2 linked regions of the Caenorhabditis elegans genome follow. The protein of the gene in region 1 interacts with the protein of each later gene in a pairwise test. Each region holds a gene or a part of one and is shown on either strand. Other genes may lie near its edges.

Region 1 (4,957 bases):
ATAAGGAAACTATCGTCTCGTGGTGCCACCGTAACCAGAACTTGAGCGCATTGATGAAGTAGAAGGTGATGACCAGGAATCGGAACTTGAGAAGCCTGTGTCTTGGAAGAATCCTCTGTTGTATCGTGGACGGGCGTAGGCATTGTTATTGTTGAGGAAGCTGGATGCCAGGTATCCTCCAATGGCTCCTAGACTTGCTCCAGTCCAAAACGATCCACCATTGTTGGCGCCACTGCCACTTGCTCCTCCGCTAGAACTTCCCTGACTGAAAAACTTAATTTTAATGAAAATAAGGTCATTTTTATTTAAAATTCCTTACCATCCACCTCCAGATTGCGAGTCACCACGGAACCCATATGGCGGTGGCTTGGAGTAGTCGTCATATGGTGGAGGAGCACTTGGATAACCACCTGGACCACCACCTCCTCCGCCGGATCCTGGGCCTCCAGGACCTCCTGATCCACCAGAAGTGTAGCCAGAGCTTTCTGGGTTCTGATTTCTGTTAGTCCACATCGCGTAGATAATGTAGGCGATGAAGGCGACGACGACGAACGTGGCGAACTGATCCCATCGATCCTGGGATGACTTTCGAGAAACTGATCTGTTACCGCTCGCAGAATTGTACTCGAGCTCATACTCCAACCCGCAAGATCCTCTCAGGATGTATGGATCCTCTGCGTAATCGTATCCTTCACATGAAACACTGATCTGAAACAAGAAACATTTTTTGAAGCGAGATGGAAATATTTAAAAAACTAACGGATCCGAATTCCATATCATGTGGCAAATCTGCATCACATCTCCACTGCACATCCGAACCATCAAAACCTTGATTTGCACACTGAACCACCTTTGGGGTGAAGGCACCTTTCGCGGATCCACCGACACACTTCAACTGGAAGGTTGGAGAAACTCGTCGTCCTGTCGTCATTTTTCCTTTGTGTAGAGTAATTGCTGATACATCGCGAAGAAGAACTTTGTCAGAGGCCGCTGAAATTCATTTGTATTATTGAAACAAATAATCAAAAGAAAAACTTACCAGAAGTTTCGAAGAATACCACTGTGAACACCAGAAGCATCCATAAAAGGAAACTCGTTGTAAATCGAGAGATCATCTGAAAAAAGAAACTAACAATTAGGAATTTTGAACGAGTAATCAATAGAAAGTAGTATGAACATTGAAATAGTACCGGAAGATAAGAACGAAGCACCAGAGATTAATTTTGAAGCGTTGCAGTGAAAGGGAGAAAAGATGATAATGAAGAAAACGAATGATAGGATATGTGACGTGTAACAACACGGAATTTTCAGAAATTTCGAAATACTTGGATCATTTTTTTGCAAATCAAGAAAAAAGATAATACGAGAATAAGCGAGGAAAATCTATTGGATGGACACAATTTTACAGCAACGCCTTTGTTTGACATAATTTTTATTCAGAGTTGCGATTTTTATCAGATTTCGCTATAAACCAAGAAGAAAACACACAAATCTGGAAGGAAAACCTGAAAAGCTGTGTTGCCAGCTGGCGGATAAATCGAGAAGGGTGTTCGCACTTTAAAAACAATATCTTCTGTTAAAAAACAATAAAATAAATTAAGAAAAATAAATTGTTGCAAGCGCGCCCTATCGCATATGTTGAAGAGACTGTAGACGCAGACATATGGCCGTGACCGAAAACATTGTCTTTCGCGTCTCGATATTTCCAAAGTGAAAGGCCATGCGCCTTTAATTGCTGACAAATAAAATTCAAAAAAAGTTTTTTGTTTTGATTTTTGTGAGAGCGCGCTCGCCAAAAATGTTCATTTTAGCTATTCGAAATCCATTTTTGTTTTGATTGCTCCTACTCCTTCATTTTCTTTCTTCTTCACTCATTTCTCGTCTCAATTTTTAATGTATCGAGAATTTCTCAGGATGACTGCTCAAGACTACCTCAACGGAAAGCTGGCGGCTGCCAATGGACCTCTGGCCGATGACTGGAAGAATCTCAAGGAGCTCTGGGAGAAAAAGTAAGAATCAATTGTTTTTGTAGACACAAACTATTTCACTAATTTTCAGGCTCTGGCATCAACTAACGGTTCTGACACGATCCCTTGTGAAGAAGCCACAATTTGTGGCTTCAACGGACATGCACGAATTCTACAGACTGTTCGTGGCGGAGTGGGAGCTGCGTGTCAACCCTCTTCAGCTCGTCGAGATTTGCATTTCGATCGCCCAAAATATCGCGACAAAGGACAAGCAAAAATCTATGGAATTCCTGTCAAAAATTGGAAACGTCATCAACAAGGACAAGATTGCCGTTGCTCGACTTCATACCGGAGAGATTGAAGCCAGACTGGAGAACAAGGACAAAAATGGACAGATTATTGATCTGAAGAGCATTCGAACTCAAATCGATTCGACACAACACGAAGTGGACTCACTTGTCGGAGTTACAGAAGTTCATGCCCCGTTCTACCGCGTCTCATCTTTATATCTTCGTGAAGTTGGAGACTTCGCTGGATATTATCGCGAAGCTCTTCGTTATCTTGGAGTTGAGGACGCCAATAATCTGACAACAGAACAGAAGCAAGTCCATGCGGTTCTTCTCGGTTTCGCTGCTCTTCTGGGAGAAAACGTGCACAACTTCGGAGAATTGGTTTGTTGAAACTCTCAATTTAAATTCCCCCAATAAACGGTTTTTTCAGCTTGCTCACCCCATCCTCAAATCGCTCGAAGGAACTCGTGAACGCTGGATCGTGGACGTGCTTCTTGCCTTCAATTCGGGAGATTTGACGCGCTTCTTCTCGCTCGAAGGAGATTGGGGAGGCTGGGACGATTTGAAGAAGCAAAAGGATTTCCTGACTGCCAAAATCCGTCTGATGGCTGTCATGGAACTTGCAGTCTCTCGTCCAACCAAAGCCAGAAGCGTTTCATTCAAAGAAATCGCCACGAAGTGCCAGATCCCATTCGACGAAGTTGAGTTCTTGGTGATGAAGGCGTTGAGCAAGGATCTCATTCGTGGAGATATCAATCAAGTTGAGCAAGTTGTCTACGTGACATGGGTGCAGCCAAGAGTTTTAGATAATCCTCAGGTATAAGAATTGATTATAAGTTTTTAAAATACTTATTTTCTTTTTTTCAGATAATGCAAATGGCGACTCGCATTTCCGCATGGAGGAACGATGTCAACTCCATGGAAGGAATCGTCAGCAAAGAGGCACGCGAGATTCTCACTCAAAATTAAATCATCTCATTTCTTTAATTTATTTTCTCCATGCTCCCCCATCCCAATCCCGGAATCCTCTATTTTTATAATTACACTGCTACGTGTATTCTACAATTTCAAGATCGTTCAGTCTTCTTTCTGTGTGTATTTATTTGAATTCATAAATTAATCGACTGTGAATATATTGAATTTTCTCGATGTCAGATGTGACTAACACCGTGTCAATAGTTCACTAGTACTTTTCAATACTTAACATTCGGGTTCTCTTCGTCTTCGAGTAATGTAGTACTGTGATTGTTCCAGCCATGGTTGATCTTTCAAAAAACGACGGAGGCAGTGGAAAAGCCGGAAAAGGTGTGAGTGATGCCATCGATACAGTCCTCTACTACGTTGTTGATCTGAAAAAGCAGCAGCCGATGGTCCAGCTGGGTGTTGGTGCTGGATTCGGGACAGTGACTGGATATTTTGTCACCAAGGTATTTAAAATTGGTGGTTCTAGAGAAATATTTAATTTTTAAATATTTTCAGGGAGGACGTCTTGTTGCTGCCACAGTGGGAATCTCTTTCCTGTTGGCTCAATTCGCTATTCACAAAGGATACATCACGCTGAACGAATCAAAAATCGAACGAGACATGAAAAATCTACACAAGTCCGTCATGAACAAGTAAGCTTGAATTTTACGAAAAAAAAATAGAATAAAACGAAAATCGTATATTATTCAATTTTTCAGAGTATCCGGCAAGAAAGTTATCAACATTTCCGATTCATTTGTCTCCGAATACCGGTGGATTCTTGGCGGATTCGCAGCTGGGATGCTGATTGGATTTAGCGTCGCCTAAATGTGGAAAATTGTGAAGCTTCAGTTGGTTTTTATCTACGATCTGTACTATTTATAATCGAGTTGCTCGATATGATGCATAAATAACTTTTTCTCACTCTCCATTGTCTAGTCATGCTGTCTATTTTTTTCTTCACATTGACTGATAAATTATACACCCTTACCTTCTCATCTTTTAATTCTTGCAAAACTTATGGTTTATTCCATAACTTTTCTCTTTTTGAACTCGATTTTGTGCTGAAAATTTTTTGAAACGTAAGTTTGCAACGACACTCCGTAGTTACGCGGCCCGTATGACGCGTAGTTTATTTTTAAGGCCTTTTTTCTCTAGTTTCATCATTTCCGTGCGCCACCTGCCTATTTAACCGTCATTTCCCCAACTATAGTTTAGTTTTCAGATAAAATTACATCATGGGCTCTTCACAATCGACGCCAAAGGTGAGTTTTCTATAATTTCAGTTAAAAGAAAACACGTATGAATTTATTTTCAGGTGCAAGATGCCAACGCCGATGCTGAGAGAATTCGTAAGGCTCAACACAGCATGGCTGCTGCTGGAGGAGGATCTCAATGCCCATTAACACCTGAACAGAGAGCTGCTGCATCTGGAGAGAATTGTGGAGCTGGTGGCGCTTGCCCGGTTGGTGCTGACAAGGCTTCTATCAATCCACTCAACAATGTGAGTTCAAAATAGAGTTTTCTGAAGCCAACTTTGAAAATTCAGGAGCTCGAACATCCAAATCAAAAGCCAGCCCCAGATCAGCCATTCGCACTTCCAACGAAACGAGAGAAGTCTACAATCCCGAAAGCTGGAACAGAAACTGAAACCTGGACCTATCCAAGTCCCCAAATGTTCTGGAACGCCATGCTGAAGTGAGTTTTTGATTGATAAATGTTTATTGTTGATTTTAA
Region 2 (4,751 bases), 7.2 Mb from region 1:
AAAATGTGGCTAAAACTCAATAACCTGCCATTTTTATTGCCAATAAAAAATTTTCAAAACATGTTACTATGATATTTGGACATCTTGGTGGCATATATGTGGTTTTTAACAGTTTCCCCACTGCTACTCCACCTTTAAGTCCTGGGAACATTTCCGGCAAATCGGCAAATTGCCGGAACTGAAATTTCTGGCAAATCGGCAACTTACCGGAATTGAAAATTTCCGGCAAATCGGCAAACCCGCAAATTTGCCGATTTGCCGGAATTGAAATTTCCGGCAAATCGGCAAACCTGCAAATTGCCGATTTGCCGGAAAAACGGCACTTTGCCGAAATTTAAATTTCCGGCAAATCGGCAAACCTGCAAATAGCCGATATGCCGGAAAAACGGCACTTTGCCGGAACTGAATTTTCTGGCAAATCGGCAAATTGCCGAAATTGAAATTTCCGGCAAATCGAAAAACCTGCAAATTGCTGATTTGCCGGAAAAACGGCACTTTGCCGAAATTTAAATTTCCGGCAAATTGGCAAACCTGCAAATAGCCGATTTGTCGTAAAAACGGCACTTTGCCGGAACTGAAATTTCCGGCAAATCGGCAAACCTGCAAATTGCCGTTTTGCCGGAAAAACGGCACTTTGCCGAAATGTAAATTTCCGGCAAATCGGCAATCCTGCAAATTGCCGGAAAAACGGCACTTTGCCGAAATTTAAATTTCCGGCAAATCGGCAAACCTGCAAATTGCCGGAAAAACGGGACTTTGCCGGAATTGAAATTTCTGGCAAATCGGCAAACCTGCAAATTGCCGGAAAAAAGGCACTTTGCCGGAATTTAAATTTCCGGCAAATCGGCAAACCTGCGAATTGCCTGAATTGAAATCTCCGGCAAATTGGCAAATTGCCGAGTTGCCGGAATTAAAATTGCCGGTGAATTGCCGCGTGGAAAAAGTAGCTGAAAAATGTTTAAAATGGCAGGACCTGATAATATCGCATGTGAATTTTTTTATTCAGAGATCGTGTGTCAAAAAAAACTAACATCAACCTAACCAACACGAGATCGGCTACTAATCAGTAAGTGATAACTTTTGAAACTTATTTTAATTGAAAAAAAAAACCATTTTCAAGTTTTCATATTCTAATGCTTATAGAAGAGACAAGTATCAAGAATCGAGGAAGCGATCTGCTAATTATGTATCAATTCAAAGCTCACCGGATCTCCCCATCAAGAAAAATCTACTAACGTCAATCGCGCAACAAGAAATAAGAAGCCATCGAAGACATTGGGACAGTACATGGACGGCGAAGAGTTACGAGAGGATTTAAAAGAAAAAGGGAAAACTATGGATAACGATCTGAAAAAAAGTTTGAAGGAAGCACCTAGTGAGAGTTACTGTTACGTTCTAATAAACCCATACGTTCTGGACAAAGACGTGAGGGAAGTAGATCTGGCTACGTTCCTCTCGTCAATATTCTACGTGGGCAAAGGAAAAGGGGAAAGAGCAATGGCCTACTTCAAGGATGCTTGCGGGAACATTCAAGGAAGCCGCAAGCTTACTACAATTGACCAGGCTTGGAACAAAAAAGGATTTGTTTATAAACACATAATTTGTACGTTTAGATAAGAAAAATCTATAAATTGAATTGCTTTTTAGGGAGACCAATTATCGAAAATCTAGCACTCGCCAGGGAAGCTGCTATGATATTTTTTTTCAAAAATTTGGCTGGAAAATCGAACTTTACTAACAAATACGTAAGTTAAATTAATTGGCTAAAAAAGATTCTAATATAGTAAAATTTTCAGAACGGCAGTTTCAAAGGAGAGTCGGCGTTTTGGAGCAGGGAAGAGAAATGCAACTACGGCGTATACCTGCTAGAAACGTAAGTTTGAAAACAAAATATCAATAATTTAACGTCTAAATTTTAGAATACACCGTTCAATCCAAACCAATGGCTGTGAGACTGTCAAAAAAGAAGATGTTGCTCCAAGAGCCGCGATCCAACAAAGTCCTCGACTCTAAACTTTTAATTTAATTGTTATTTTTAAATTCCCTCATTCACATTACCCAACTTCACTATGCTACTGACTATTTAAAATTGCTCAAAATTCAAATATTCCACTTGAATAAACCTTATTATGAGAAATTAATATTTGACCTTTTTTATTTGAAAATAAACTGTTCCCGCCGTTTTCTTTATTTTTTTGCATTGTCGTCATATCGCGCGCAAAGTCCGCAGTGACACCCGCGTGGTGTTTGCGTACCCCGCAATTGTCATCCTCACAATTTTCGAACGCGACTCCCGATTTCTTCGTTTTTTGCTGTAAATTTCGGATATTTCCGGTCAAAAATTTATTAAAATATCTGGATAATGGTAATTATCAATGTCGTATTGTGTTTTTATCGATTTTCTCAGTTGTTTCCACGAAATTTCTGTTAATTTTCACCGAAATCTGTTTCAGAGAGGAATGGAGCGATTCCTGCGACTCGGAGGTCTTGGTGGAAACCTTGGAACGGTAATTGCATTCTGTTTCGATAGAAAATCATCTAAAATTTCGAATATTTCCAGTTCGGAGCCAATCCACAGGACTCGAATCAAGTCGACACCTCGGAAACCGTCTACATTTCTTCGCTGGCGTTGCTGAAGATGCTCAAACACGGAAGAGCCGGAGTTCCCATGGAAGTGATGGGGCTGATGCTTGGAGAATTCGTCGACGACTACACCGTCAATGTGATCGACGTTTTCGCTATGCCACAGTCTGGAACCGTGAGTTTTCGTCAAAAATTGAATTTTTAAAAAAGATAATTTATTATTTTCATTACAGGGAGTCTCAGTCGAAGCGGTCGATCCAGTATTCCAGGCGAAGATGCTCGACATGCTCAAACAGACCGGAAGACCCGAGATGGTCGTCGGATGGTACCATTCCCATCCAGGATTCGGATGTTGGCTCTCCGGCGTCGACATCAACACTCAGCAGTCGTTTGAAGCGCTTTCCGACAGAGCTGTCGCCGTTGTCGTCGACCCGATTCAATCTGTGAAGGGAAAGGTTGTGATCGACGCGTTCCGTACGATCAACCCACAATCGATGGCTTTAAATCAAGAACCACGTCAAACTACCAGTAATTTGGGTCATTTGCAGAAGCCGAGCATTCAGGTTGGGGAAATTATCGGTTTTTAGTGAACATTTCAATAATTTTCGGTTTTTTTTTCAGGCCCTAATCCACGGACTCAATCGTCACTACTACTCCATCCCAATCGCCTACAGAACCCACGACCTTGAACAGAAGATGCTCTTGAATCTTAACAAGCTCTCATGGATGGACGCAGTCAGCGTCGAAAACTACTCAAAATGCGGTGAACAGAACAAGGAGCACCTCAAGGCGATGCTCAAGCTCGCCAAGAACTACAAGAAGGCGTTGGAGGACGAGAAGAACATGACGGATCAGGAGCTCGCGATCAAGAACGTCGGAAAGATGGATCCGAAGCGGCATATTGCTGATGAAGTGAGCAAGATGCTCAACGACAATATTGTGCAAAGTTTGGCCGGTATGATGGCGACGACTTCATTGCAATAATTTTTAAATCAATACTCATTTGCTTATTTTTTTATTATTTTCTCAAAAATTCCCAATTTCCTCGTTCTCTCCCCGTCTTTTTGTGTATTTTTCCCCATAATTTATTTTGAAATCATCCCAGTTCGGTGTTGGAAAACATGAATCTTCCCCGCCTTTAATCGATTTATTGTTTATGCGTTAATTTAGTCCATTTCGCTAACAACTGAGGCAGCAGCATCACATTCAGATTGTTCATATCGACCGATGGTGTGTAGTCGTTGATGAGGAGATATGGAACTTCGAGGATCGGATTCGGTCGGGTGCTCATCGTCTTTTGAGCAGCTTCGCGCTGGAGTTGAACGCCACGTGGACCATCGTAGCATTGTCTGAAATTGTGAAAGATACGGTCTCGACACGACAATCTTTTTTTTTAATTCAAAAAAGTTTCGCCTTTAAAGATTACTGTAGTTTCACTTTTAGGAATTTTCTATAAATTTTTCATTTGATTTTCACCAAAACATAATAAAAAAATATTAAAAATCGATAGAAATTCCAAAAAGTGAAATTACAGTAGTCTTTAAAAGCGCACAGCTTTCCGCGTTTAACACAATTTTGTCGTGTCGAGACCGGGTACCCCGTTTTTTAGCTCAAGATCGGGAAAACTTTGAACATTTTATTCGAAAATTTGCAGAAAACTAGTTTAATTATTATTATCATTATTAGTTTTAGGAAATTATTATTAGAAAACTAGTTTAAAAAACAGTAAACGCGCTCCACGGCCAATCGAAAGCGCTCCGCCTCCGAACCATGGGTCTCGTTAGGAATTCAGCGGCAATACCGAAAAAAATGGAGCGCGTTTACATTTTTTAAATTCATTTTTCAAATGAATTTCCGAGTTTATTTACCAAAATACTGGAAGATAATTAGTTTTTTTCGAAAAAATGCAGAAAAATCGTATTTAAAAGGATAATAAAAGCGTGTGGCAAAATTGCAAAAAGAAAATCGGCAAAGTGCCGGTTTGCCGATTTGCCGGAAATTTTCGATTCCGGAAATTTGCCGGAAATTTTCAATTCCGGTAAGTTGGCGGTTTGCCGATTTGCCGGAAATTTTCAATTCCGGTAAGTTGCCAATTTGCCGGAAAATTAAATTCCGGCAATTTGCCGGTTTGCAGATTTGCCGGAAATTTGCAATTCCGACATTTTGCC

The links.
Region 2: the proteins of rpn-9 (region 1) and rpn-11 interact in a two-hybrid assay, tested with the Caenorhabditis elegans proteins (2 studies listed by BioGRID).

Annotation. Positions count from the first base shown.
Region 1 is NC_003280.10:11,235,876-11,240,832, reverse strand, and holds rpn-9 (26S proteasome non-ATPase regulatory subunit 13), read left to right. Parts: upstream 1-1,913; 5' UTR 1,914-1,914; coding exon 1,915-2,009; intron 2,010-2,058; coding exon 2,059-2,638; intron 2,639-2,687; coding exon 2,688-3,074; intron 3,075-3,124; coding exon 3,125-3,226; 3' UTR 3,227-3,386; downstream 3,387-4,957. Other genes in the region: T06D8.9 (Store-operated calcium entry-associated regulatory factor), read right to left, coding at 10-265, 320-708, 761-990, 1,040-1,115; FUN14 domain-containing protein fndc-1, read left to right, coding at 3,514-3,684, 3,737-3,873, 3,940-4,048; cchl-1 (putative holocytochrome-c-type synthase), read left to right, coding at 4,459-4,485, 4,539-4,724, 4,770-4,918.
Region 2 is NC_003280.10:4,042,033-4,046,783, reverse strand, and holds rpn-11 (26S proteasome non-ATPase regulatory subunit 14), read left to right. Parts: upstream 1-2,453; 5' UTR 2,454-2,459; coding exon 2,460-2,507; intron 2,508-2,560; coding exon 2,561-2,758; intron 2,759-2,816; coding exon 2,817-3,146; intron 3,147-3,204; coding exon 3,205-3,567; 3' UTR 3,568-3,722; downstream 3,723-4,751. Other genes in the region: K07D4.2 (GIY-YIG domain-containing protein), read left to right, coding at 1,288-1,603, 1,648-1,745, 1,797-1,873, 1,920-2,013; pqn-48 (Prion-like-(Q/N-rich)-domain-bearing protein), read right to left, coding at 3,731-3,932. UniProt on the Caenorhabditis elegans protein: Metalloprotease component of the 26S proteasome that specifically cleaves 'Lys-63'-linked polyubiquitin chains. The 26S proteasome is involved in the ATP-dependent degradation of ubiquitinated proteins.